Linked DNA regions of Macaca fascicularis. The protein of the gene in region 1 purifies or fractionates together with the protein of each later gene. This does not show direct contact. Links are inferred from orthologs where the notes say so. Each region holds a gene or a part of one and is shown in the gene's direction. Other genes may lie near its edges.

Evidence for each region.
Region 2: the proteins of EN1 (region 1) and TLE1 purify together in Homo sapiens (affinity purification with western blotting; 4 studies listed by BioGRID and IntAct, with this or other methods). This does not show direct contact. The link is inferred for Macaca fascicularis from reciprocal best matches to the Homo sapiens genes EN1 and TLE1.

The regions. Positions count from the first base shown.
Region 1 is NC_088386.1:12,928,877-12,943,248, forward strand, and holds EN1 (homeobox protein engrailed-1), read left to right. Parts: upstream 1-6,506; 5' UTR 6,507-7,160; coding exon 7,161-8,040; intron 8,041-11,062; coding exon 11,063-11,379; 3' UTR 11,380-12,277; downstream 12,278-14,372. UniProt on the Homo sapiens protein: Required for proper formation of the apical ectodermal ridge and correct dorsal-ventral patterning in the limb.
Region 2 is NC_088389.1:112,328,284-112,342,753, reverse strand, and holds the start of TLE1 (transducin-like enhancer protein 1), read left to right. Parts: upstream 1-7,506; 5' UTR 7,507-8,825; coding exon 8,826-8,849; intron 8,850-9,631; coding exon 9,632-9,732; intron 9,733-11,164; coding exon 11,165-11,228; intron 11,229-11,340; coding exon 11,341-11,385; intron 11,386-14,470. UniProt on the Homo sapiens protein: Transcriptional corepressor that binds to a number of transcription factors. Inhibits NF-kappa-B-regulated gene expression. Inhibits the transcriptional activation mediated by FOXA2, and by CTNNB1 and TCF family members in Wnt signaling.

The DNA.
Region 1 (14,372 bases):
AGCTCTCACAGAAATTCACTCACGGACACGCACACACGGAGACTATGCACGTGGACACGCACACACACTTTCACACTGACACAGCACAACGCAACCACACGAGGATTAGAGAGACAAAACGCACACAATTCTTGCGTGCACACTCGGGCACACACTCGGACTCACACACGCACCCAACTAGAGCCTCTCAGAGTCACGAACAAACACGCACGCGCGGGACTACACACTCGTTCCCCTCCCAGCTTTCTGCTGGAGCGGGGGACCAGGCAAGATGGCCCGAGAAGGCCTTGGCATTGCAGTGACCCCCTCCCGCCCCCCACATCCGATTCAATATGAGGAAGGAGGTGGGGCGGGGTGGGGTAGACAGACGGGTTCTCGCCCCTCTCCCCCAGTCCCAGGCTCATGAGACTTTCCGTTCCCTTACCGCCCCACCTTCTGTACTAAACTTTTTCCTTCCACATCTTCCCGCCTGGGCCCTGCAGCGCCGACCTCTGCTGGAACCCAGAGCTTTTCTTGCACCTCCCCGGGAAGAGGGTCCCAAAGATGCACGCCGGAGGCGCGGCCTGGATCAGGCTCTGGAGCCGGCAGAGGCAGAAAACCTAGGCGCCGAGAGCCGGGTGCGCGAACTTTTGTCTCCTTTTCCAGGGTCGGTGGGAAAAGAGCCCGGGGACAACCAACCCCTCCCCTACAGGAGTCAAAGGGAAGAGAAGGAAGACAGTTAATTCTGGGACAAGCAAAAAGAACGGTTTTGGAGTCACAGGAGCTTTCCTGCACAAAGGACTTGGATGTTGTGGTTTTTTTCTTCTTTTCTGGTGTTTTTCGTTCCCAACTTTGAAGTCGGGTTCAGACCTCCTGGTGACCATGGACTGAGCGGAGGGGTGGGGGCAGCAGAACCCGGAAGCCGCGCTGGCCCCTCCTCAATCGCTTCCACACTCTCACACGCCCAAGGCCAGTCGGTGTGGACCCCGAACCGCGCCAAGCCGGATCCAGGCGGGAGCGGCCACTCGGACAGGTGGGGAACAGGGGTGGGAGAGGGTACCCTAGGCCTGAGGACACCGACCTCGGGGAATCTTCTGGGGAGTGGGAGGGAGCCATACAGGGATAAAAGCAAAATAAAAAATAGAAGAAAATTCAGGCACAGACACGGATTTTTTCTTTTTTTCGGGGAAAGGGAAAGAGATTAAACCCAAACTCGGGTCTGGGTTCTGGGGTTTGGGTGGGATTCAGTGTAAGCATAAAAAGCGGGATGTCAGATTAAAGTGAAGAAAAATAAATAGGGAATTGTGTGTAGTCCTCCTGCTTCCCGGAGCAGCGAAGTCTAAAATTCTCAGCTCCAGAGGCCTGTCTGCCTGTGTGATAGAGTCCCAGCGAGGTTTGAAATTCCGGGGGGGCGGGGCAGTGAAGGCTACTCTTCCCGTAATCCGAGCCAAGGGGCCCTGCGTCCAGCTCCCGGATCATCCCCGCACAGCCCGAACGCTGCCTGCAAACCCGCGAGCAACGACAGTTCGGGTGTTTGCACCCTGGCGCCGTCTGCGCTTGGCGCGGGCCTGTGGACAGCCCGCGGGGCTCAGAGAGGAAACCAGGGCCCCAGGAGCGCTTTCTGATTCCTGGCCACCGGGTGCAATTTACAGAAAGCATCGGTATCTTTCCACCGTTTCCCACGGGGAGTCAAGAGGAGAAAAGTCTCAGTTTGTCTGACTTGAGAGAGAGAGAGAGAGAGAGAGAGAGAGAGAGAGAGAGACTATTTCTAGAACAAAACTGTACATGCTGTGAACTGCCTCAGATAAGAAGGAGAAAACTCTGGAGGAAGACTGGATGGTGGGGACATAAATCCAAATACTGAAATTCACGAAGGTGACAACATCCAACAGTGGGCTTTTTCTCGGGCTTTCCAGATACCTAGACATTTTTAGTCTTATTTCATATATACAGAAAAAAAGAAATCCTCCCTGTCCCTCATCCCCTTCATGAAATGCTCTGGGTCCTCTACAAACAAAGCTGCTGCCCCAATTTCAGGAGTCAAGGGAGCATTTTATTTTGTCAGCGGAGCATTTTATATTCCATGGTTTACCTCCCACGCACCCCCCACCCACCGGCTTTTTTCCTTTGCTGCCTCCCCTAGTCCCACTCCACTTTGGACAGAATTGCTTAGGATCCCTAACCAATACCCAACGAATCCCCCAGCACCCACCCACCCCCACATTATTATGGGCTCCAAATGAAGACCAAGACCCCGAGTGCTAATTGAATTAGTCTATTGAAAAAGACTGTCAGGTACAATGACGTGACTCGAGGCCCCACATTTCCCAAGGTCTATAGGCTTTGGGGACCTGCGATGTATAGTCTGACCTTCTAGCTCATAATAACGCGGCACTTGTAGCAGAAATCTCCTCGCATTCACTCCCAACAAAACCGCTGGTCATCCAGTCCCCGTAGGAAGGCTGCACGCTATTGTGTTGCGACAACTCATTCATGTCCCGCACCACGAGGCCCCACCGCCATCTGATCTACACTCGAAATGCGATTACCACCCTGTGCATGCAACATGCTCCTACTCCCAGTCCATGGCGCACACCCCTCGCCAGGCTGCAAGAATTTCTTTCATAATTCTCCTTCTGGTCCTCATCCTTGAAAGAGAGGTGGAAACATGCAGGACCCTGGTATTTGTCTCTGCCTACACAAAATCCAAAATTCTATGGACAAACAGGCTGGTCCTCTTTTCTGAACAGCATACACCAAAACCCTCAGCAAATACATTTCTTCATGCCTGACTAGTGGGGCTGACTTGGGTGTACACATTAACGTTCACATACACACAGGGGTCTCCTGCCACACACAACTATACACACACACACACACTACTTTTATAGACTAATTTTCTCTCTGGGTGGCTCTCACAGACCAAGCAAATAAACACAAATATACACTCTTGTCCCCACAGCCACGGGCCACTCTTCAAGACCGCTGAGTGTTTTCCCCAAAATTAGAAAAGGGGAGAAAGAAAGGTAAAATTTCTCAGTCTTCACTCTAATAAACACATGTCAGTCTTCCGACTACATGATTCCCAAACCCCACTAGCTAGCAGCTCCCCAAACATGTATGCATCATTCTCCTCTGTTTGGCCAGGTGTCTTTGGCTCAGTGGGAGCCCCTGACTATCCTCAGAAAATGCAGGAAGTCTAAGGACGGGAGAAGGGAAGGACGGTTGGGGTCTCTCTCTGTCCTATTTACCCAACTCCCCATCACTGAAGGCCTCTTTGGGACCTCCTTCGTTCAAGTGAAAAAAAGTAGCACCCCTCCCCCAACTTTGGCATTTGAGACAAAACACTCTATATCTTCCTCGTCATTCTCCACTTTTATCTGGGCTATCCCCGAGGAAAGGGGACTTGGGGACAATCAACTTACTGCAGAGACACAGCCCAGTCTATGGCCTTCTGTGGGCCTCTAGCCCAGGTGACTGCATAGCTCAGAACTGCAAAGCCATAGAAAGGCGCACAGGGTACCCCCACACTTCCATATCTTTGGCCCAAGAGCAGATGGCATTTGGAGAAAGGGGCTCCATTCCATTTGAGTAAGGCTTCCCCACCTGCTACCCGCAGGCCCACCTCTCTGCCACCCCGGCCTGGGCATCAAGTTGAAAGTCATTCCTTAGCTCCCAAAGGCAGAAACGAGTGCCCCCAAAAGGACCGCCACACAAATATAACCACTCGTGCAGATACAATCCTTCACACACACCCTAACCCTTTACCCACATACTTGTACACACAACTCACCCTGCCCGTAGTTCCTCACTCACATGCCCAGCCCCGGGCTCACTCAGAGTTCTGTGAACCCCTCACCCATCCGTCTCGGCCAACATTTGTTCACTCAGCCCTCACACACTTCACTTGCGTGCTTGCCAAGACGCCAATGCGCTCACACAGAGTTCTCAATAGCATGTTCATTTGCAGGAGGGAGAGGAGGGCGTAGGGTCTGGGTGGAGGTCATGGAGCGCAGGGCGGCGCGGGGTACCGAGCGTCCGGGCCAGGCAGGGCCTGGGGGAGGTGGGGGGACTAGCCAGCGCGCAGAGTGCCGCCTAATCCAGCTCGAGCTCGTGGGCCGCGGGTGCATTTATCATCCCATTACTGTAACAAATCCGGGCTCCACTACATGAAAGGTAAAATGAATTACCGACGTTAAGCCGTCAATAAAGTCATTTCTGTAAATGGCGTCTCCAAAGGGCCGCCGCATTATTCAGCTGGCTTTATCAGCTGGCTGGAAATTACGTGGAGGAGCCGGGCCGCGCGGCGCGCGGGGCCGCTCACTTTGATTAAGCGTCTTGCCAGCGCGATGTGACAGAGCTTTTGACCAGGGTTTTATTCACAGGCCTGTGATGAACGCCAAGCTGATCAGGCGGAATGAAGAGTAATTAAAACCTATAAATTATCTTCCGCAGCCCTTCTCGAGGCGTCTCCTGCAGGCGAGATAAGGCGTCGAGACCCTATTTACCGCGCTGAAAGGGACCGCGGTGCACAAAAGCTACGCGGCTAAATAGGATATTGATAGTGTCCTAATTAGAATTTAATTAAGTACCCACGCTTGCTTGCGGGATAAAGATTTCAATTTTGCGAACTTAAATATAAATAAAATCCCACCCTCATTTCGGGGAGAAGGGGTGGGGGCGCCTGGAGATTTCGGGGAGCCCTTGGGTGTGCGACTGAAGAGGACTCGGGAGACTCCAAAGTGGGGTTGGAGGCGACTTGGAAAGGTTGAGAAGACTGTAGCGCAGCGTTAGGGACAGAGGTTTTCTCCCCTAGGCTGCAGCGCAAGTCTAGCCGGGAACTCAGCCCCAGAAATCGGGGGACCCTCGCCTGCTCCCAAGATGCGGTGAGCAATACGAATTCCTGCTCTCCACCAGCCCTTTTGAGAAACTTCAGCTACTGCGGTGTTGGTTCGACTTATTGTGGGTTTAGTTGCATGTTCCTCCTAGCCTAACCCCCTGTGACTTTTCTGGAAAACTGGAGGTAGGGGGATTATTTCGCATGTCACAAATAGACAATATTTCCAAAGAGGTACTTTCTCTACTGTCCCAGTTGGGGAGGGCGTTCAGGGCGAGGAGGTCCGCTGGAGCTCTAAGATGACACCCCCGAAGGCCTCGTTTGCCTTTCTCGGCCACCGCAGGCTTCAGCAGAGTCCAATACTGGTCCTCCAAAACGACTCCGGAGACAAGTTCCGCAGGTGCCTAGAGCTTCAGTCCACAAGCCACTCCCGTCCCTCACATTACCGGTTATGAGAAAACTCTGGGGGTGCCTCAACCAGGAAACAGCGAAAAAGAGCCCGGCAGACGGGAGAGTGATAGCAGCTAGAGGAACCGCATTCCCCTCAAACTAGGGAAGAACGCCAGGGCTGGAGCCGGAGGCACCCAGGGAGTTGGGAGCAATCCCAGGAAATTCAGTTACCCCGCAATTGAGGGAAACTCCTTGTTCACAACGTCAGCTGGCCAGGGCAAACACTTGGGGTGCAGCGCTTTTATTTATTTGATTTTACTTTGCAGGGAAATCTAACATAGAGGTTACCCTGAACTCTAAAGCTAGGGCCTAGCGTGCATCCGCGTTCTGACTCGCCAGCGCGGGGGCCCTCCTGAGATTACTCTGCGTTGCCCGGACTCCCACTGCCAGGGAAGGTCCAGGCGGCTGGCGCTGGGGCTATTCCGAGCCCTCTGGGCTTGGCGCTATGGCGCCAGGACAGCTCCAGGGTGTTGTCGAAAGTCTGGACCGGGAAGGGCATGGGTGCGGATTCCCCACAAAGGGAAAGCAATGCAGCGGGCCGGCAGGAGACGTACAAACGTAAACCTGCGACGCTAGCTAGGCGCAGCGGGCCTTTCAGATTTTGCTATTTGTGAAAAATAAATTGCGCCTCTGAAAGAAACCAACTCTAGGTCTATTTCACATCACCGACCTCCTTGTCTCACTCCCCCTCCCTCCACTACACACACCCAAACCCACACCTACCCACAAACACACAAACCGGCAGTGACAACAACCACTCATCCTTCATAACAGCAACCAGAGAGAGAGGAGAAAATAAAGAGCTGAGGTTCTTAGGCGTGGGGGTGTAAAACAGCCAGGCTCCTGCCTACTGCCCCTGCTCCCGGCGCGCACAGACCCATAATCCTGCGTTTCTCCAACAAGTTGTTTATGGAGTTGCTTCTCCATTTGCCTACATCCCAAAATCCACCCCTCCCGGGTTTCTTCTGCCCCCTCCTCGGTCCCGGCCTGAAGGAGGGGGAGGGGCGCGGGTGGGGGAGGGCGGACCCGACGCACAGGGCCAGCGCCGCGGCGCCCCCTCTCCGCCCGCGGCTGACGCCCTCGGATTATTTATCCGCAAAGTCCCGCGCGCACCCATTGGGCCGAGGCCCGAGTGTCAGCGCGAGTCCCGGCTCGCCATTGGCTCCGCACACGTGCGGCCCTGACTCACGTGCTTCCGGTTTGAAGGCAAAAAGTGTGCCTGGGTGATTTTTTTTTTTTTAAGCGAGAGAGTTTGTGCAAAGATCCTAGCTGTCAGAGATTTGAAAAAAAAAAAAAAAAAGAGGAAAAAAAAAAAAAAAAAACCCAGCCCGGCGCTGGCGGAGACGCGCTCTCCCTGCAAAAAAAGCAAAGGCGATTAAAGGCGCTGCCAGCCTCACGCTCTGGGCACAGCTGAGCGTGACACTCGGGGAAGTCAAATCCCTCACTACTGCCTAGGAAGATGGCTAGACTTTAAATACTATTTTTTTCCCTTTAAGAAAAAAAATTATTGGAGCTTTTTTTCTTTTTTTCTTGCTTTCTTTTTCCTTTTTTCTTTTTTTCCTTCATTTTTTTTTTTTTTGGCCGTGGCTTACTCCCCATTTAAATCAAATCATTGAATCTGGTTGCAGAAAGAAAAAAGAAATAGCCAAGTGTCTCCATATCTGGATGTCTACAAATTAGAGAGGGAGAGACAGCGAGATCTATCTGCTAGATAAGAGCGAGCGATCCAGGCCAGACGCCTGAGATTTTTTCCTGCACCCGCCCGTGCCTTCGCTGGGGCTTCGCCTGCCTCCTTCCTCTGCGCACCCCCACGGGCCGCTGGCAAAGTGGGGTGGGGAGCGAGGCGGTGGGGGCGGGGGCCGGCGCGGCGGCCGGGGCGGCGGGGCGGCCGAGCATGGAAGAACAGCAGCCGGAACCTAAAAGTCAGCGAGACTCGGGCCTCGGCGCGGCGGCGGCGGCGGCGACCCCGGGCGGCCTCAGCCTGAGCCTCAGTCCAGGCGCCAGCGGCAGCAGCGGCAGCAGCGGCAGCGATGGAGACAGCGTGCCCGTGTCCCCGCAGCCCGCGCCCCCCTCGCCGCCCGCGGCGCCTTGCCTGCCGCCCCTGGCCCACCACCCGCACCTCCCCCCACACCCCCCGCCCCCGCCGCCTCAGCATCTCGCGGCGCCTGCTCACCAGCCGCAGCCAGCGGCCCAGCTGCACCGCACCACCAACTTTTTCATCGACAACATCCTGAGGCCGGACTTCGGCTGCAAAAAGGAGCAGCCGCCACCGCAGCTTCTGGTGGCTGCGGCGGCCAGAGGAGGCGCAGGAGGAGGAGGCCGGGTCGAGCGTGACAGAGGCCAGACTGGCGCAGGTAGAGACCCTGTCCACCCGTTGGGCACCCGGGCGCCAGGCGCTGCCTCGCTCCTGTGCGCCCCGGACGCGAACTGTGGCCCACCCGACGGCTCCCAGCCAGCCGCCGCCGGCGCGGGCGCGTCTAAAGCTGGGAACCCGGCTGCGGCGGCGGCGGCGGCGGCAGCGGCCGCGGCGGCAGTGGCCGCGGCGGCGGCGGCGGCCGCAGCAGCCAAGCCCTCGGACAGCGGCGGCGGCGGCAGTGGAGGCGGCGCAGGGAGCCCAGGAGCGCAGGGCACCAAATACCCCGAGCACGGCAACCCCGCCATCCTACTTATGGGCTCAGCCAACGGCGGGCCCGTGGTCAAAACTGACTCGCAGCAGCCTCTCGTATGGCCCGCCTGGGTCTACTGCACACGTTATTCGGATCGTCCATCCTCCGGTGAGTACCCAACTCCGGGCTGCGCCATGCTTTCTGGCCTCGCGGACCGCCCCAGAACGCCAAGCTGCGGCGCTAGGGAGAGCAAACCCGGCCTCGGGTACTCCAGTCTCTCACGCCTGCTTCCTCACCCCAGTTCCAGCCGCAACCGAATGTTCACCCAGCTATGCGATCCTGGCCTCTGCGGCCACCACCCGAGAAGCTACAGCTCGTGGCACAGGAGGCTCGAGTCTCGATTCTTTGGTTTTGAACTCTGAATCCCTGGGGCCTTCTTTGTCTTTTATCTTTATTATTCTTAGGAAAAGTACACAGTCAATGATTTTGTTTCCAGGGTGTTTAGATATGGCAGGAAGTTGGGCCTAGTGATGTGTGTCTGAAATCCCACCAGCCGGATCGTCCGGGGGCCAGATTGGACCAGAGAAGGCCTTGTTCAGAAAAATTATATTCACAGTGTGTCCTTACAAACACAAACACCATCTTGATATTTTCTGCGGAGTGACCGTTTACACTGATAAATATGGGGACACAGAGGAAGACAGGGAGGAAAGCGTCTGAAAGCCGTCCCTCTCCCCTGGTCGGGTAGCGAAGAGTCTGACCCGGGTGGGTAGAATCCAGGGAAAGGCAGTTGCCAAAAAGGTGGGTGCTGGCAGCCTCTGGTTTTCTGGAACTGACAAACAGTGGGAGAGGAGAGAAAACAGGTCAGGCTCAGGTCAGAAAGCCGGGCCAAGGGTATGAGAGCCAGTTTCCTCCGTAGCTTCTCCGCAGAACGGCTCCCACATCCTCCCTGCCTGGCACTTTCCTTTTTTCACCAGCACATCCAGCAGTTAGCAGATTTCTGGCATCCGTGGGCCTGTTTTTCTCGGCTTTCCTTCCACTGCATTTTCGTGTGCCCCTCGCGCTTGGCGAACCCGAGGAGGAGACCTGAGCTGGGCTCCGGAACAGGAGGCCAAGGCCTGCCCGACGCCCAGGCCCGCAGTGTCTGGGAGAGCAGCAGAAGCTTTGGCCCAAGATCAGCACTCCAGGCGCCGGGTCCGGCAGGGGGCCGGGAACAACGTAGCCACGCGCCGCTTTCCTCTGGCTGGTCTCTCGCCGCCCCACCGCTGCCGGCCGGGCGCGGATCGATGCGCACTATCAGCTCCCGCCATCTCGAGCCCCGTTATTGACACGTCGGGCTCCCTGAACCTCCGAAAAGCTGCTTTGATTGACTCGCCTGATGGATAGAGTGATTGAGCTGTCAGGCTGCACGGCTCGGGCTGGCCGGGAGACTACGATTTTATTACAAGAGTCCGTGCCTCCGCACACGCATACAACAACACTTCAACATGTCCCGGATGCACAACGCGCAGTGGTGCCTTTTTGGGGTTGTGCGCATTTCCTGGGCTATTTCTCCCCGCTCAGCTAATTACGAATCTAAACCCCAGTTCTGCTCTGGAGAGGGCCTTGGCTTTGTTCTTGGCCACTTTCCTTCTTATGGGCCTGGGTAGGTAGGGGACCAGCTCCTTCTCCTGCTTGGGCAGTTGGGGGAGGAGGGGATGAGCCTCGACCCAGATCTGAGTCGCTGCAGTATGCTAGGCCTGGACTCTTTGTCATAGGACAACTGGTTACCCCAGGCTCTTACCTGCCCCAGGAGTAGGCTGCCCAGCTTGCCTCTCTGTAGCTAGGTTTGGATATGCCGGCAAAGATCCTTCTTTCCAGACAGTTTTAGAGGTGAACAGGCCTGACAGGGACTTAACTTGGTTCAGCAAGCTACCTTATCCAAGGCAGGACCCAGCAAGTAAATGCCAGAAGACTTGGGTGTGGAAGCGGGTGGGCAGAGGTGCAGGCTTTTGAGGCACACACGAACAGTTCAATCCTATCCTGGTTTTCCCGCTTTCCCTCCTTCCTTTCTCAGTGGACCCTCCTCCCAGACTAGTATTTGAAGGGAACTTCACCTTCCTAAGGAGGTTTCCTGTGGCCCCTTCCCATTCCTATCTGGCGGTCAAAGCACTTTTTTTTTTTTTCTGGATTGTCCCTGTCTCCCTTCCTCTGCTTCTTTTTGCTCATGGATGGGGGAAGGGGCTGCAGTCTCCTTGCAGATGTCATCAGTAGGCAGAGAAAGCCAATCTGGCTTGTTTTTGTTATTCAGAAGTTTTTAATCCTGAAATTGCAGCGGCTCAAAGGGGAGATAAGGAAGACCCAGATAAGGGAGACCCTACCCCACACAGCCCGTTAGAGGATCCAAGGGGCAAGGCTGAAAACCCAGGGGCCAGGGTCATGAGGATGGATGAGGGCCTTTTCTTCTCCTTCAGAGAAGGGGTGGTCCCTGTATCCCTGAGACACTAGAAAAGGCTTCCTTTAGGCCAAAGAGAAAGAAGGCAAGGAGGTGGGGGGGGGGGCGGGGGGATTGCACAGGTAGACACCAAGTACTTTGGAGCTGAGCAGCCTTCTCCCAGCCCGCTCACTATCCCGTTGTTTTCTGGGGTCAATAGCTACAAGCAGATGGTATCTTATTGTAGGTTCTCCTGTAGGTACGATTCTTGTGGAGGAGAGGAGGATTAGTCTGTAGGCTGGTGACTCCCCCAGGGCCTGCCCCTCACTGCCCTAGTCCTATCTATTCCAGGGCTGTAAGGACAGCAGGCCCCTGACCCCCAACTCTGGGCTGGGCCAGATGAGCTCCAAATATCTGGTCATCTTGGATTCCTTCCTTCTTGGCCGGAAAATGCTGTGATTTCGGTCTGTCCCTGACTGTCCTGTGAGAATTGGGGTGTGGGGTGCACCTACAACCTCAACCAGCTTTCCTTCACCCTTTGCCCTCCCAAAGGGAACCCGGAGACCCCAGTGGTCTGGCGAGGGGCATTTTGATCGAGGGATTGGCCGGCGGGAGGGAGCCAGGGGTTCAGCAGGGCCTCCGAGATGGCCCCGGAAGCGCGGGGCTCGCGGCCCAGCTCGGCAATGCAATTCTCACCGCTTCCTTTGCCCTCTCCCCCCTCCCTTCTGCCCTCCGTCCCCACCCCCACCCCCACTCCGGCCCTCTCCGCCGCTGCAGGTCCGCGCACCAGGAAGCTGAAGAAGAAGAAGAACGAGAAGGAGGACAAGCGGCCGCGGACGGCGTTCACCGCCGAGCAGCTGCAGAGACTCAAGGCGGAGTTCCAGGCAAACCGCTACATCACGGAGCAGCGGCGGCAGACCCTGGCCCAGGAGCTCAGCCTCAACGAGTCCCAGATCAAGATCTGGTTCCAGAACAAGCGCGCCAAGATCAAGAAAGCCACAGGCATTAAGAACGGCTTGGCGCTGCACCTCATGGCCCAGGGACTGTACAACCACTCCACCACCACGGTCCAGGACAAAGACGAGAGCGAGTAGACGCCACCGGCCGGGGCCGCGCGGTCAGGCCGCCGTGCCCGCGCCGCCTCCCGGCACCGCCGCCGTCGCCTCCCGGCCCCTAGCTGGGGAAGAAAGCATCTGCTCAAAGGAGGGAGGGAGCGAAGGGAAAAGAGCGAGCGAGACAGAAAGAGAGCCTCAGAATGGACAATGACGTTGAAACGCAGCATTTTTGAAAAGGGAGAAAGACTCGGACAGGTGCTATCGAAAAATAAGATCTATTCTCTATTCACAGTATAAGGGACGAAACTGCGAACTCCTTAAAGCTCTATCTAGCCAAACCGCTTACGACCTTGTATATATTTAATTTCAGGTAAGGAAAACACATACGTGTAGCGATCTCTATTTGCTGGACATTTTTATTAATCTCCTTTATTATTATTGTTATAATTATTATAATTATTATAATTATTTTATCCCCTCCCCCTCTGCCTCGCTGCCCCCGGCCCAGTTTCGTTTTCGTTGCCTTTTTCATTTGAATGTCATTGCTTCTCCGGTGCCTCCCGACCCGCATCGCTGGCCCTGGTTTCTCTGGGACTTTTCTTTGTGTGCGTGAGTGTGTTTCCTTGCGTGTCTGCCCACCTCCTCTCCCCCACCTCCTGGGCCCCTTCTGTCGGTCTGTCTGTTCTGCCCCCCTTTCGTTTTCCGAAGACTTGTTGAGAAATACGACCCCACAGACTGCGAGACTGAACCGCCGCTACAAGCCAAAGATTTTATTATGTTCAGAAACCTGTAGTCTGAAATAAAGTGTACACTGTGCTCACGAGCGCTGGCGGCCCTCCTGTTTGCGGGCTCGGGAAGGGCGTGGGTCCGAGCACACAGCGTCTCAGCGCCCCTGCGCACGCCGGGCCGGGAGCCGGCGGGGCCTTGCGATCACCGCACAACGAATGCAGGGGCGAAGGGGAAGCACGGCCCAGATGCGGATTTGGCCTGGGTCTGAAGGGTCTGGCGGGACACGCCTGGTTTCCGATTGCGTTCAAGGGAACTCAAAGGCCGGCAAACCCAGTCCTGGCTTCGGAAATGCTGCCCGGGTTACCCGGCAGCTCCCCGCACCGGTCCAGGCCCAGCCCAGCAGCGGCCTCCTCCTGTACAGCCTGCTCTTCACTCCAACCTGCACTTTTCTTTTTCTTTTTTTCTTTTATTCCCTCTGGTGCAGGTTTTGCTGCAGATTTTTTTCATCCAGAGATAGAAGGGGGCCTGCCTTCCTCCCTACCCAACAGCCCGCTTGGGCGAGGGGCACTTTGGCATGGCCTCTCGGCCGCCTGGACTCACTGCACTTCGTTTGGGGGAGGGCTTCTGTTGGCGAGGCAGCAGGTCCGGGGGCAACCAGCGGAGTCTCGCGGGGCTCGGATCTCCTGGTCCCACAATGCGGGAGGAGAGAAGGCCCAGATGCTGGGAAAGCTGTTCGGAGTGCCTGGAACCCGAGGTGGGCGCGGGTCTGCTGTGTCTGGGCCCTAAACCTAGGAGGGTTCCCTTAAGCATCCCAACAAAGCCTAACTTTCTTCTTCACCAAGGCGGGGGGCGCACGTAGAAGCCCCCAGGGCCCTCAGGACACCCTGGGTTCCCAGAAGGAAATGTCTGGCCTCTTGCTGCTAACACTGGGGCCCATCCTTCCAAGGCAGGAGCTGCTCTCAGACCTTAAGAAGTTAAGGGGAGGAAGGGAAGGCTCCTTCTCAGGAGGTATTCTCTCTCCTTTGTCCAGGATTTTTAAAAATTGTAAATTCCACTCCCACATTATTTTCTCTCTTCTGCAATATGTATGTATATACCCATACGTGTGCAGCTAGACGGGCAGGTGTCCACACATACTTGTGTGCATATATGATAATGTGCAGATATTGGTGCACCTAAGTTCCTACCAGTTTTTTGTGTGTTCCTGTACCCGTGAGGACTGTGCAACTGATTTTCTTCTCTAATGAGATGCACAATTGGATGTGTGTGAGTTCACTGTGCGTACATGCATGAATTTGTGTTTGCACACTGGAATGTCTGCAGGTGTGTTTGCTGGGTTTGTGCACGTGTGAGAACCCTGTTCTCTGTGCTCTTCGCTTGAGTTTCTTGTTTTTGCAGGATTGATTTTGTGTGAAATGATAATGGCTAGTTATTCCACCTTTTTTATTGAAAAATTTCCCCTGATTTGGCCCAATGTACTGTTCGCTCCTGGCCAGGGAACTAACAGGGCTAGATCTCAATCCCAGGAAGCCTAGGTCTCCTCTAAATCCCTACATAAGAGTTTGGGGGCTCAGTGGCCTGGAGTGGAATTGGAGAGTGCATTTGACACTGCTGTGGGTTCCCAACTTTATTGCAATTAATTTCCTTCCTTCCATCTGCCCATTGTTTTCTGGAGGAGTGTTGAGTAACTCTTGCGTATAATAGGTGCTCAACCAATCTTTGTGGGCAGAGTTAGAAGGAGCGAGCTGGACCCTTCCCTGGGGTTGGTCCAGGGGAGTTGTTTTCTGGTAGTCAAAAGCCTGTGCTTTGCTTTCCTTGCAGAGTGGGCTTGGAATTTTCAAGCCTTGCAGGCTTTCCTATTAAACAGTCTGATGCCTGGGTCTTGGAGCACCCTTCCCTTCATACAGCCGTCTCAGAATTTCAGGAAGAGTCCCATTCCATTTCACCCTCCCAGAACATCCAGATGTGATGTTAAGGATGCTCAACTCTATATATTGGAGAACCTTACTATTTTTGAATGTCTGGGAATTGGCTACACTCCCTTCTCCCCTCCCTATTGTGGCCCCTTAGGATATCCAAGTCCCCCAAGACCGCCAGGTCCAGAGGCTGGGACAGAGGCCAGTGTGAGCAGCGACTCCAGGAACCACCCCATTCCTCATGCTCCCCTTCCTCTATCCAAGAGATCAAAGCCAAGAGCTCTTCCCTTTAACCCAGTGAGAGGGGGAGAAGGTGGTCACTCACCCCCATGATTGCGTCAGTAAAGTGTACAGACGTGAGTGTCATTATTATGTAATTTGGTTTCT
Region 2 (14,470 bases), on another chromosome or scaffold:
ATACACTTCTTATTTGCAGTTGTAGGTGTTATTTGAAGTTGCATGTTTCACCATTTATCTTCTCAGAATAACATCCTCCAAAATAACCACAATACTCTAACATCAAAAAAAGCCAACCCTAATTCTATACTATCTATAATATCCAGTCCAAATTAAAGTTGCCCAAGACATCTTGCATGTTTTTTTTTTTTTTTTTAAATCCAGGAGCCAATAAAGATTTACACATTGCATTTTCATTATATATCTTTGTTTTTAAGGAATAGTCCTTCCCCACTTCTCTCCTCTCTGTCTCTCTTGACATTAACTTTTTAAATAGCTCAGGCTAGCTGTCTTGTAGAATGTCCCAGCATTCTGTATTTATTCCATTTAACTTGCTCATCTAGACTTAAACTTTCCGTTCTGGAAACGTGAAGGTATCTGGAATATCTTGCACTCTAGTCCCCTCCCATCCCCAGAGTTCACCTGCCCTCAGCTGTGAAGAACATCTAGAGATCATCAATTAGTTGAACTCAAGTTTTAACCCTTCAATGATATGGCTAGCTTCAGGAAGAAAAGTTATTTAAATGATACTGCCAAAGTGAAAGCGTTTAAAGGAAAGGAAAGATGTCTCGGTGTAAAGTTGATTTCCCAGCAAGTCCTGGGCCTGCAGCAAAGGCGGCTCAGCAGAGAATGTTAAGGGGCCCAGGTCCGCTCTTGTTATGTGAATATGTAGGAAGGAGCATCAAAGGTGCTTCCTTTACTTTTTTCTTTTGTCTACCAAATGCTCTTCAGCTTCAGTCGAGCTAAATGCTAAACTAAATGAATTAAAAAAAGCGTATGATCCCAACTTTTCTCAGACTTTAGAACGGGTTAATAAAAAGGAGGTTGGGCACAGTGGCTCATGCCTATAATCCCAACACTTTGGGAGGCTGAGGTGGGCGGATCACGAGCTCAGGAGATCGAGACCATCCTGGCTAACATGGTGAAACCCCATCTCTACTAAAAATACATAAAATTAGCCGGTCGTGGTGGCGGGCGCCTGTAATCCCAGCAACTTGGGAGGCTGAGGCAGGAGAATGGTGTGAATCCAGGAGGCTGAGGTTGCAGTGAGCCGAGATGGCGCCACTGCACCACTGCACTCCAGCCTGGGCAATAGAGCTAGACTCCGTCACAAAAAAAAAAAAAAGAAAAGAAAAGAAAAGAAAAGAGGGGGAGGGCAAACTTCACTGAGATCTTTTATTATGGTCTGAACTCCAGGCAGTGTTTCATCAAGCCCCAAAATACTGTTCTTGCTTTTCTGGGGCATCTCGCTTGTAGACAGGGAAAGCTCTGGCAGAAAGGCTCTCTGCTTGAACTACTTCAAAGAAACTAATCATGAATATATCCTATTAGTGTGAAAATCCCAAATTAATCAGGTAACATTAACACATAGGAGTGTGCCGTACATGTGCATTACTTGTAAACAGACTTGGTCGGGTGTGGTGGCTCACGCCTGTAATCCCAGCACTTTGGGAGGCCAAGGCAGGCAGATCACGAGGTCAGGAGTTCGAGATCAGCCTGGCCAACACGGTGAAACCTCGTCTCTACAAAAACTACAAAAATTAGCCGGGTGTGGTGGTGGGTGCCTGTAATCCCAGCTACTCGGGAGGCTGAGGCAGAAGAATTGCTTGAACTTGGGAGGCGGAGGTTGCAGTGAGCCGAGATCACACAACTACACTCCAGCCTGGGTGACAGAGCAAGACTCCGTTGCGGGGGGGCGGCGGGGGAGAGATATAAACAGACTTAGGAGTAGAAGGGGCATTAATAGGCAGAAGAACGTGGTACAATGGGATTTATATCTGCACTCCTATGATTGCTTATAAACACATGCTATTTTAGACTGACATCTTTCTCGAAATATAGACTTAAATAAACAGAAGTTCGGCCGCAGCTGAGGTGGTGTTCTTCTGCAGGCCTCAGACACAGTCAAGCATTTTTAAAAACGTGATTGGTGGGCTAAGAAGTTTATCCGCCTGGTTCCTCAAATTCCCAAACAGTTTATTTGAATACTGAGTGAATAGCTAATCTTGTACAAGTTCTGGGGCTTTAACAAGGTAAACGAATGGGTGGGCTGTGAAAGTAAACACTGCATTTCCTCCCAGGCTCACCCTGGCTTCCAAAATTCCTCTCCCTCACTCCTTTCGCTCTCCCCAGCCTTCTAGTTCCCAAGCTTGGTCTCTCGTATCCTGTGAAAGTACTGAAATTGCAAAGGAGACATTTTTAATTATAAGTACTACAGTAATGAATTCAAGTACACTCGTTTATCATAAAGGGCTTTCCCATCTGTCTCTAAAGTATACTTAAAAATGCTGTGTATTTGATAACATTAGCACCAAGCATCTTCCACATGTTAATATCCAGCGTTTTAGATGTTCGCTCCCCCCACCTCAAAAGACCGCACAGTGGTGGTTCCAGAAAGAGCACATTTATCTCTCCGTGTTTGGGAGTGCCTGTGTGGTCTCTTCCTAATTTATTTGCACTCCAATCCTTGGGGATCTCATCGCAATCCCCCTAGGCAAAGGGAGATTAGGGAATAGGACTGTCTGCTTCTCCCCACTCTGACAGAGAAGGGAGAACAACTTCCCCAAGTCCCACAAGTTCTTCTGGCCACTGTACAAATTGTTCTTGAGCATGGAGGGTTTCCAAAAGCCCTAATTAGCAACTCACAGCAAACATTTCTTTGCATTAGCTAATGATCCGGCTGCACTTGTAAGCAAACAGAACCCACATATCTAATCAATGCTGAAAAACCAACCAAATGCCTATTAAACATCTGGATGTAATTTTCTAGTTAGAACAAAATGAAAACATATGCAGGTTCCTTTGATCTTCGTCTTAACAAAGAAATTGTTGATAAAAAAGCATACTGGTCAGTCAATGTGTCATTTTCATAAAGTCTGCTCATTTCTCTTCAAATGCTCCCAGTTTAATTTAGTTGGTTTCCTGCAATCTCTAATTTTACCATATTGTGTGAAACCGCAAGAGATTCTTTGGAAGTGATTTTATTTGAGGTTTTACTGCTGCATGGATCTGCTACTGATTTTTTTTTTTCCTTCTCTGCCTTCTTCCCTCCACCTCCACGTCCATCTTGTCCTTTTCTTTGGTAAAGGGGTGGGGGAGAAAAAGATTACAAAGCAATGCTGGGAACAATTCTTCTGGACCTTACATTCTTAGGTTTAAGAAAACTCTCAATTAAAAAAAAAAAGAAAAAGAAAACGTGGGGCAGGGTGGCTCATGCCTGTAATCCTGGCACTTTGGGAGGCCAAGGCAGTCGGATCACCTGATGTTAGAAGTTCGAGACCAGACTGGCCAACATGGTGAAACACTGTCTCCACTAAAAATACAAAAATTAGCCGGGCATGGTGGTGCATGCCTGTTATCCCAGCTGCTCAGAAGACTGAGGCACATGAATCGCTTGAACCTGGGAGGTGGAGGTTGCAATGAGCTGAGATCACAACCACTGCACTCCAACCTGGGTGACAGAGAGAGACTCTGACTCAAAAAAAAAAAAAAAAAAAAAAAAGGAAATGAGAAAATTAGCAATAATTCTCAGCTAAAATGAAGAGAACACAACAAAAGTGGTCTTTTAAAAATTATAATTATTAGCCAGGCGTGGTGGCTCACACCTGTAATCCCAGCACTTTGGGAGGCTGAGGCGGGCAGATCACGAGGTCAGGAGTTCGAGACCAGCCTGGCCAACATGGCAAAACCCCGTCTGTACTAAAAATACAAAAATAGCCGGGTGTTGTGGCACATGCCTGTAGTCCCAGCTACTGGGGAGGCTGAGGCAAGAGAATCTTGAACCCAAGAGGCAGAGGTTGCAGTGAGCTGAGATGGCGCCATTGCACTTCAGCCTGGGGGACAGAGGGAGACTCAGTCTCCAAAAAAAAAAAAAAAAAATTACAATTATGATTTCAAATAAAAAAGTAATAGATTTAAAAGATGTCTAGTTGCTACAATCAGCATCCATAACTTTTCCTATTTTGTGTAGTATCTGTACTAGATAACATCTAGCTTTTGCAATTACTTAGGCTATTGCTGAGTTGAAAATTTGATAATAAGCAACAAATGAATGGGAATATACCCACATATACATCAAAAGAGAATGAACAAGCTGACAATCTTTGTGTTTCTCTGCAGAGCATAAAAAGGGTACCGTGTTTTTCAGAGAAAATTTCCAGTGGAAGCATCATACATTTCACATAAAAACATCATTGACATACGAATGTTAAAGGTAAAGAAGATTACGGTTAACAGGCTTTAAATGGAAGACCAAAATTATAGATTTCATAAGGAGGACTATTTTCTTTTAAACAGGCTGTAGGCAATCTGCACATATATTATTTATTTAAAACATAAGATTAAAGCTACTTGACTGTTTAAACACCATCATTTGTAATGCAGTTTGATGAGAGTTTTGTAGTATAATTATTACAGCATGACAATCATGGAGAAAATATGACCTTGAAAAGGGCAGAGCCTTCTCCCACTCTGACAGACGATGCTCTAAATGGGAAGAAAAGGCTTCAAAAACCAAAACCAACCATTTTTATGCGCACAATTAAAGGCCTTCCAATTTTAAATTCATAATGATCTGTAGATACTAGATACTACATTATAAGGAAATCAGAAGGCCTGGTGTTTTCAAACTCTATTGGCAAGGAAAGACTAGTTAAAAGAGAATTTCCAGTGTTTACTCATGGCAAACTGGGAATATGGTGAGCAGACACATTGTCTGTGAGTAGATACATTACAGAACATTTAAAGATGCCTTAGAACTGATTTTGAGGGCAGCCGGGTGGGGAAAGGAGAAGTAGCAACACTTTTGCCCCGTCTCAAAGCATATTTTAGTGGCTCTGTTTAAACTTAATGAGAGTGTGCCAGTTATTCAAGATACAGGCACGTAAAGCCTGGGTAAGCTGCGGAGGAGTATCAGTTGCTCCAGTTGTCACAGCATGTATACAAGCATACTTGTGGCATCCAAGCACTTTCTATCCAGTCCTGGAGCTGATAAGGGATGAACTGGCTGCAGACTGGAATATGTGGCTCGTACATTAGATGATTTCAAGGAAAACAGGTTGCTAAAGGCCTGGGGTCCTATGATTCCAAAAAGTCCTGTATGTCGAGCAAAACTCTCATCATCACCAAATTTAACCAAAGAAAGTGAGGCAGTGCTTTCTTCTTTTTTGTTCTCCATGTTAGCAAAATGAATAATACAGCCGCCTTCCCAACTGTACTTAATGAGAACACCACAAAGCTACAATGCCCAACTTGTTTAAGAATTTACTATGGCTTCGTACAGACAGGCTAAAATAGCTTTTTTATTTTTCATTTATAATTGATATTTGGGAGTGATGCAATTATAGATAAATCAATATCATACATATTTTATTTTTTATTTTATTTTATTTTATTTTTTTTTTTTGAGACGGAGTCTCGCTGTGTCGCCCACGCTGGAGTGCAGTGGCGCGATCTCTGCTCACTGCAAGCTCCACCTCCCGGGTTTACGCCATTCTCCCGCCTCAGCCTCCAAGTAGCTGGGACTACAGACGCCCGCCACCTCGCCCGGCTAGTTTTTTGTATTTTTAGTAGAGACAGGGTTTCACCATGTTAGCCAGGATGGTCTCGATCTTCTGACCTCGTGATCCACCCGCCTCGGCCTCCCAAAGTGCTGGGATTACAGGCTTGAGCCACCGCGCCCGGCCCATACATATTTTAAAACAACTCCAACAGTGAAATGTATTATCTAAAACAACTTCTAAAACTATTTCAAGAAAAAGATCTCTGTAAAAGCACATCTTTAAATAAAATGTATGTCTCTTTAAATAAGCTCCTTCCCATAAGTCTCTTGAAAGTAAAATAATGGGAACGTGGGGGTTATTAATACCAAAAACTTAACTATTTTCCAACATAAGATAAATACTTGTCCAAGATGTGCCCTTATAGAAAAAGTTACCACCGTTTGGCTAAACCAGCATTATTCACTCACTGCTCATGTGGAAGTAGCTCCATTGGACTGTTCTTCAAACAAAAGTATAAATGCAGCAATACTGACGGTTTTCTGCTGTGGGTGTATTTAGAGACATACACAAAAACCGAAGACTCTCAGCATTAATTATACAGCGTGTCTTGATTATTACAATCTCAAAATCCCTTTTAACTCAAGTTCTACTTCATAAGAACCGTAGCCACGTCATTTACCTAACTCTTCCCATTTAGCTCTTCACACAGCTCAGCTCAGGAGTACCACCCAGACTATGGGGGTGGGGTGTGCGGGACAGGTTTTTCAAGTCTCAGTGCTGGTTTATTACATTGTCTCTCTTTGTTCCCAGGAATTGGAAACAGACTCTTGGTCTTGTAGCTGAGAGGCTCCTAAAAACCTCAGCCGCTCCCCTCCTCTCCTAACAGCGAAGTCTGGACTTTTAAGACGAAGACCTGGGATTTCACGCCCCGGGCAAAGCGTCTCATCTGCGGACACGCGTGCCTTGTTCTGGCAGCACCCTGGGAATCCTTCCCGCCAAACGGGGCAGGACGATCTTTTTGAAAAGTGGCTTGAAATCCTGCAATAAAAACCAAATCCTACCACTTTGGGTGCAAAGGAGGTGGGTGGGGTGGGAGGACATCATAGTCGTCTCTGCGGCTGGTGTACCTACGCCAACCGTGCCGTTGCTCATTTACGCATTTCCAACTAAGTGCACAGTCCACTCCCTCTCGTACATCCGTAAAAAGGCAGCTCAAGGAAAAACAAACGTCAGATGTATTTTTCAATGTGGCCTCACTTTCAGAGTAGCATCAAACAAGGGGGTCCAGCACTGAAAAACACATTTGCTCGAATTACCAAAACCCCCCCTCCGCCTCCAATAAGAAACTACGCAGCTAGTCTTTGAGTTACTTTCACTTAGATCTGAGGATTTTCATTAAAGGGAAAAGTGAGCAAGTGGCAGGATTTTTGCTAACTCGAGCCCCCAGCTTCCTCGGCTGCACGCTCGCCAGTCCCTCCCGCTAGCGCGCTCCTGCGCGCTCTCTAGCCAGCCCCACGTTACTTTGATTGACAGCCCAGCCCCGCCGCTCTCCTTCCCACCGACCTTCCCATCTTCAGTGCCAATCTCCGCGAATCGCCTCTTCCCATTGGATGGTTTTGCCGTCCCGCGGCTCCTCCAGGAACAGTTCCTCACCAAGCCCGGGAGGACGCGGCTGGCGGAGGAGGGGCCGGGGTGGGAGGGGAGACCGAGGAGACCGCGGAGAAGGAAGCGAGAGGACGGGGGAGGGAGAACGGCCCGTCCGGCGCTGCGCTGCCATAGGCTCCGGGGAGGCGCGCGTCAGCGCCCCACGTTGGGTGCAGCGCACGCGATTGGCTGATGAGGGCCTCCTGCCCCCCCCCCCACCTCCTGGGCCCACGTCCCCCGCCGGCTCGGAGCTCGCGCCCCCCGCCCGAGCGGGCTGGGCGGGGCCGGCGCTGGTTAGCTCCGGAGTGTGAAACCGCGTGTTAATGTAACCGGCGCGAGAGGCGCGGGCGGCGGCGGCGGCGGTGGGAGCGGCGGCTGCAGGAGCAGCAGCAGCAGCAGCAGCGGCGGGTACTCTGTGCCCCGCGTCCCGGAGGCAGCCGACTGCGCCACCCCACCCTCGCACGGCCGGGCGGGACCCGCGCCACCAGCCCGGACCTCCGTCGTCCCGCGGCGACCAAAACCCCCGCTAGCCCCACCGCTGTGACTACTCCGGACTCGCCCGCAGAGTTTGCCCGCCGGGGAGGGTGGCCGATTGGCGGAGCGCACTCCTGCTGTTTTCCCCACCATCTCGTGGATGTCGTCCCTCGGGTGGTGAGAGAACTTTGCAGCGGGCTGGAGCGCCCTTTGCGGAGAAGCAGAAGAAGGTAAAGGAAGGAAAGAAAGAAGACCGAGGAAGAAGGGGCTCGGAAGAAGGGTCCAGAGCGGCCGAGCCGGCCGTGCAGGGCTAGTGCGCGCGAGGCGCGGCGCCCTGATGCTCCTCGGGCTCGAGGAGCAGCGGGCAGTTGCTGGACTGCTCTCGGTGGAGTAGCCCCGTCGGTCCCGGAGGGTTTGTGCAACGGCGGAGAACACCGAGTGTTGGTCGCACGGGGCGTGCCGAGTCGCCTCCCGGCGCGCCCTCCGCACTTTCCCCGCCTCGTCATCCCTCGCTCCCCGGCCAGGAGCCTCCGCCGCTTCCTCAACCTCGCTCCCCTTTCCGTCCCGGGAGCCTGCGAGCACCTGGCCGAAGGCGCAGCCGAGTCTTGCGGGAGTCGCCCCGAAAGCGTCGGGTTTGTTTGTGTGGGGTTAGCGGGGGCCGCCTCGCCACCTGCATCTCGCCCGCCGCCGCCTCGGGGAAAACCCGAAGAGGAGGCGGACCAGGAGAAGAGCAAAGAAAAGCAGCCCGTCTGGATTTGTTTGCCCAGGACTGGCGCCGCGCACGCGGATCGCCGAGGGGAGTGCGGTCGGAGTCACCGCGCCCCCGCCTCCCCGCCCCGGCGGCTGAGGCCGGGGGGTTGGAGCGCTGCCCCCGCGCACAGTCCCCGAGCGCCCGGCGTCTCCGCGCAGGTTCTCGAAGCAGCTGGGCCTGGGGCGCCCACCAATGTGGCCCTGAGGGCCGGAGCCCGCACCGACGGGAGCGGGAGCAGGAGCAGCTGGGGGCGCCGAGTGGCCGGTGCGCCCGGCCGAGCGCGCCTGCGTGCGTGGCCAGCGCGCTCCCCGCTTCTGCCTGGCTTCCCGGCTTAATTTTCCTCGGCGGGATTAAAGTTGGAAATTGACCGGAGAATTGAGTTGCCGGGGAACAGAGCCCCGGCCGCCGCCAGAGCGATGTTCCCGCAGAGCCGGCACCCGGTGAGGCGCGGCTGGGTGGTGGGGGAGCAGGAGCGTTGGGGAGGCGCTTCTCCCGGGCGGTAGGGAGACGGGTGGCTTCGGCGGCCCGGCGGACCCTCTCGCCCTCCGCGGCATAAGGCTGGGGAGGTCTGGGGCCCTCTCCTCTTGGGGTGGGGAGTGGACTGAAACTCTGAATTTTCTCCCTCCCTTTGGGCTCCTTCCTACTTGACGTCTATACTGAGCGGATAGGGGCGCTGGGGAAGGCTGGGGTTTCTCTCCTGTAGCCATATCCCCCCAACCTTCCCCAAGGGGGGCAGGGCGCCCCCCCTTTGTTTCTCGTCTCGCCTATTTACATGTCAATGCGGCCCCGGTTCCGGTGCGTCTGGAGGTGGCCCTGGCGACTCTGGGAATGGGGAGCGTAAAGGAGTTGTTTTTCTCTTCTGGTCCTCCGGGTCATTATCGCCCCCGTGGGGGAAGGGGCGGCGACACCGACAATCTGGCCTGGTCTAACCGGGCCGCCGGGGAGCCCCCTTCCCTTTGGCCTGGTGACCCGGGCGCACTTAACGCGATCCGCCCTGGAGACTGGGAAGAGCTTCCGAGCCTCTTTAGAAGCCGGGGCCCGGGGAGGGTCCACTTTCCCCCTCCCCCAAGTGAAGGGGAAACTCGAGTTTGGGGCCTCATTTTCAGCCACTTCTAACTTTATTTTTTGTTTATGTCCCACCCGTTCTTTCCTTCTCTGACTTACTGCTTTATTCATCCGCCCGCATTCCCGTCCCTCGGTCCCCCTCGCTGGTCGCCCCCAGACGCCGCACCAGGCTGCAGGCCAGCCCTTCAAGTTCACTATCCCGGAGTCCCTGGACCGGATTAAAGAGGAATTCCAGTTCCTGCAGGCGCAGTATCACAGGTGCGTGTCTGGCCGCTCCAGGCGAGTGGTCGCGGGCGTCCCCGTGCCCCTTGTCGCCCAGCCGGGTGGCGGCGGCGCCTGTACTTAGTTCTTGCGTCCAGGCGGTGGCGTGTGGAGTCTCAGTTAAGACCTGTCATTCAAGTTACCCCCTTTCCTGGTTCTTCCCGGGCCGCCTCTTCTCTTGTCTCCTCCTCCTCCCATTGTTTCCCTTTTGCTGGTTTGCTGCTGTTCCAGGGAGTCCTTTTTCGTGTCTTTAGAAGTTGCATGAGAATCGTCAATATTTGCGCTTCATGTATTTATTTTTCAACAGACTGAGTTGAAACATTGGTTCAATCGATGTCTCAGTCCTGGAGTGTGGGTTCAGGGAAGCAAAGCCATGTTGAAATCGCTGTTTGCCATACTAGAAAATTGGGTTTTTGAGGCAAAGTTCATTAAAGAAGGCTAGATGCTTTTAACATTGCCCATCATTGGCGATGGTGAGGGAGGTGGGTATAATAGTGTGCAGAAGAAAGCTCACCTGCTTTGGCGTCATTTCAGGTTGGTTTGGGTAGGATGGGAGAGTGGAGTCACATTTATATCCATCTCAGCCTCAGTTTCTCTGAGTAATGAGGCTTGCCTCCAAAGGACTTATACATTTTTGTAAGATACTCTGCCAATAGTGAACTTCCCAGAAAGGTTAGTTTCTTTCCCTTGCTCCTATGAAGTTTTACCTGATTCTAACTCAGAAATAACTGTATTGACATTTTTTGGTTTTGTCATGCTTGAGAAAAAGCACACAGATGAGGCGAAGTGGCTTGGGTGTGAATTTTCTTACTTTGTCAGGGGCTTTCTGATTATTGACCTTTTGTCTACTTGTAGATAATATCTCTGCAGCTTGAGGCATACTTGCACACACCGTGTTTACCCAGCAGGGAGAACTTCAACCCACTTTATTGCAGTAGCTACTTGACATATTTTGGCAGGGATTTAAAAACCAAAGGTTTTGAAAGGGACTAGCAATTGTAGGAGTAACTTAACAGATAGGATTTTCAAACCTAGAGACCGTTTGAGTTGGCAAAGATGGCACAGTCTATGCGTAAGAGTGAAGATTGTGCAAGGGCCGGATTTTGGTGGAGTCCAGAGAAACTGATGCAGGAAGGTAGGGAGCAGATGACCATGAGGAGGAATCAGTTAGAGGTTCTGACAGATTTTTTGCATTCTTGTCATCTAACCAGATAGGCACCAAGAAGAATGGTAGCTGAATGGACACCTCGTATTGTTCACATTATTCCTTTTCCCTATTAAATGCAAGGACAAAGCTTTTGGGTGTTTACCTAGATAGTTTATGGCTTTTCCAAATTGGTCTGTTTTTACTTGAAGTGCAAATATGTGAGGCAGATGTTAAAACAAGTGACATAATGTTTACATTAAGTTGCCTGTTTTGTTTTCATAGCCTTAAATTGGAATGTGAGAAACTGGCAAGTGAAAAGACAGAAATGCAGAGGCACTATGTGATGGTAGGTATCAAAGAGTCGACTTTTTCCCTTTTCGTATGATATTAGCAAACGTGTTAGCAGAGTATAAAAAATGTGAGTTAATGAAATGCTTGATTCTTTTTTCTCTTTACAGTATTACGAAATGTCATATGGATTAAACATTGAAATGCATAAACAGGTAAGCTTTAGTTGAACTTCAAGCTGAAATGAGAAATCAGTTCGTATGATTTTATAATACTGGCTTTGTTCTCAGTAGTGGGCTCTAGGAGTGGGGGTTTGTATGCTATTTTTCTGCCTTGGTTTCCTGTCCTGTGGATTGATGGTAGTATTCTGCAGCAAGAGTTGCTTCCTGATAATTACGAGTGTTTAAATGACTAGGAGAAAGAGAGGTGTTTTGGAAATATAAACTAGCCTGTTTAATGGCAGATAGGAATTGAGACTTGAGTTGACTTTTCCACCTGTATAGATTTATCCTCTTGAAAGGGCTGGGTATCTTATAGAGTTGTTGAAGTTTAGAATAGTTAATGTTTTTGTGCTGTTTTGCAAGGATGTGTGGACCTGTAGGGGGAAAGAAGGGTATTCAGGAGTTTCTTTAATCATAGTAAACAAAGTATATGACTATCTGTGGAGTATTCCTTATGCTTTGGGTCTGCTCGAAGCAACAGTCAGGATTAGTGGCTTATTAGCAAACAAATTTTTGAAAAATTTCTCAGTTGTTGCAGGTTTGGATGTGAAAAAAGCATCTTTTTATGGCCAGAGCATATGTTGGGAGTTGCTTCAGTCCTAGTGGTTTTAAAAGCATGAAAAGATTAGTGACTGGAAAGCTCTAGCAATGACTATGAGTTTGCAAGTTCCCATAAAATTCACACTTATGGCTACTATAATGGTGTATAAAAAGAGTATTGAGCTGGAACAAGGCACTAAGGACCTCATAAGAGAAGAAAAGCTAAATGATTGCTCAGCCCAAAGGACCCTCGATTGAGTAGTCATTGTCTGCCAAAGAAAGCATTAATGGCAGGGTGTAAGTATTCTGGAGATATGCTGACATTCACTTTTTCATCAAGACGCTGGTACAATAAGTCTTTTAGAAATCGATTGCCTCTTAAAAAATTATCATCAGATGAAGTTGCACAGTTGGACACATTTCAAAGTGCAACAATACAATTCTTACTTGATGTATATGTGCTATTTCATCTCAAACCCTTGTTTCATTAAATTAAAGAGCATGGCTGACCGGCTGGGGCACAGTGGAGAAATTGATTAGTTCAGCCTTCAGATCTTCCTTATATTCAAAGACTTTCATTAAGCAAGTGTGTTTCAGAGTTGAATTCTGCTTTTGTAACTCTGCACTCTTTGATTTTTAATTCATCATAGATTTCATAATGTTAAGTTATCGTGTACATTAGATCTGTTCTCAGATATGTGTTTGGAAAGAGATTGTGATGTTCAGGGCCTTTTATTAGTAATGTAATTGGGCCTTTTAAAAATGCAGATTTTACTATGATTTGCAAAGTTGGTAGCCTACTTTATGTTGGGTTTGTGCCTTTGTTTTTGTGTGTTTCTCAATGGCTAGTGCCTTATTCAGGCACTTGTAACTTGTTGATAGTAAATGGGCTAGAAGATCTATGGCTAACGTCTATCATCATTTAAGTGAATTATGCAAATAAACTTGGCCTAGGCTGTTTAATTTTTTTTTTTTAATTACTCTGAAGGGCACTTTTTTTTTGGATAACACATTATGGAAGAGTAAGAGGAGACTGAGCTTTTTCTTAAATCCGTGAACTCAAAGGATTTAATAACCTCATTGACTCTTTTATAAGGAAACACCCCCTCGGTGTGATGCTATATGCTGGTGCTGGGTTTATTGGAGGAGCTAAAAGAGGTGTGTAATTCTTCTGGGTTCCTGTAGGTTATGTGGCGGGATGACCTCTTCTTTATCGTGTAGGGAGAAGGGGTGAAGTGGGTCAGAAGCACCATGGTGTGAGAATAGTTTTCTAATGAGTTTCTATACAGCGTGAGGCATTTGTGGGTATATGCTGTCCGTCCGTGAGCCTGTATGCATTAATAATATGCTGTGTATAATTGGCTTAGCAATTTGAAAAACGTGAAAAGCTGAGAGACACCATGTTCCTCATAGTAGGGTATTGAGCCCCCTGAAATTTAGTTGATATTGGAAATGCTGACAGACCCTTAACTCGAGTGGTGTGCAAAGTAGTGCTATAATTCAGTTTAAAGTGGCCTTACATTTGAAAAACATCCTTCTGAATGTCACACATTAATAATAAGTTCTGAGGAGGCATTTGGTGCAGCTAGTAATCATAATTCTTATTAAAACTGGTGACGTCTGGCCCCCAGGGTGTAGCCAGGCTCAAATTGATGCTTTTTGCTGCCTGATCACCAGCATGGCCTAAGTGCTCATTATATTGTAGAGAGGGCCTTTGGAGCTCTCATTAGATTTGACAGGAATTCTCTCTAGGGGGAAACTGGGCATTAGCGAGACTCCTGACAGGCTGAAATTATTCCTGCTTTATGGCTTATAACCAAATGCTAGCGAGGCATCATCAGGGGACACAAAAAATTGTCATTTCTGACAACATCTTTGTTACTGAAAAAAAAAAAAAAAGCAGTGAAGGGGAAACTTTCTGTACAGAGAGCTTTAATGCTGTTAAGATTTGTCTCCAGTGTGACGATCGCTCTCCCTTCCCACCTTTCAACGGGTTTGTCGAAGGAGTGAGTTCTAGAGATTTCATTGTCAAATCTCACTGCTGACTTTCCCGTCTGGAAGTTTTAAAGTGAAAGTGCATCCAAATCAAGAATGGTATAATTGTGGTTTCCTTCCCTGGTGTGGTGCCCACAGCCCGTGTTTACGTTGTGTCAACACTTCCTGATAAGCCTTCCCCTTAACTTTCTCTGCTCCCATTTGTGGCGGGTTACCGAAAAGGCACTGAAACAGGAATGGTAATAGATACTTAAATCTTTTATGGTAGCACTAAGAATATTTTTTTCTTAGAGCCTTTTATAGATCCCTGCCTGCCTGTCTTTATCTGTGTGGATGGTAAACTCTAGATATCGCTATACAGTAGAGGTAGACAGTGTCTCCTGAAAAATTGAGGCAGTTCTGATACCATCAGAGTATTAGGGTGCATTAAAAAACAACTAGTTGTTGTGAGCCTGGTGGTTTGCTTAGCTATGCCTAGTGTGTGTGGTGGCGTGATCTTTAAATGTTTTTATCTGTCATATGGCTTGATATTACCTCATTTGAT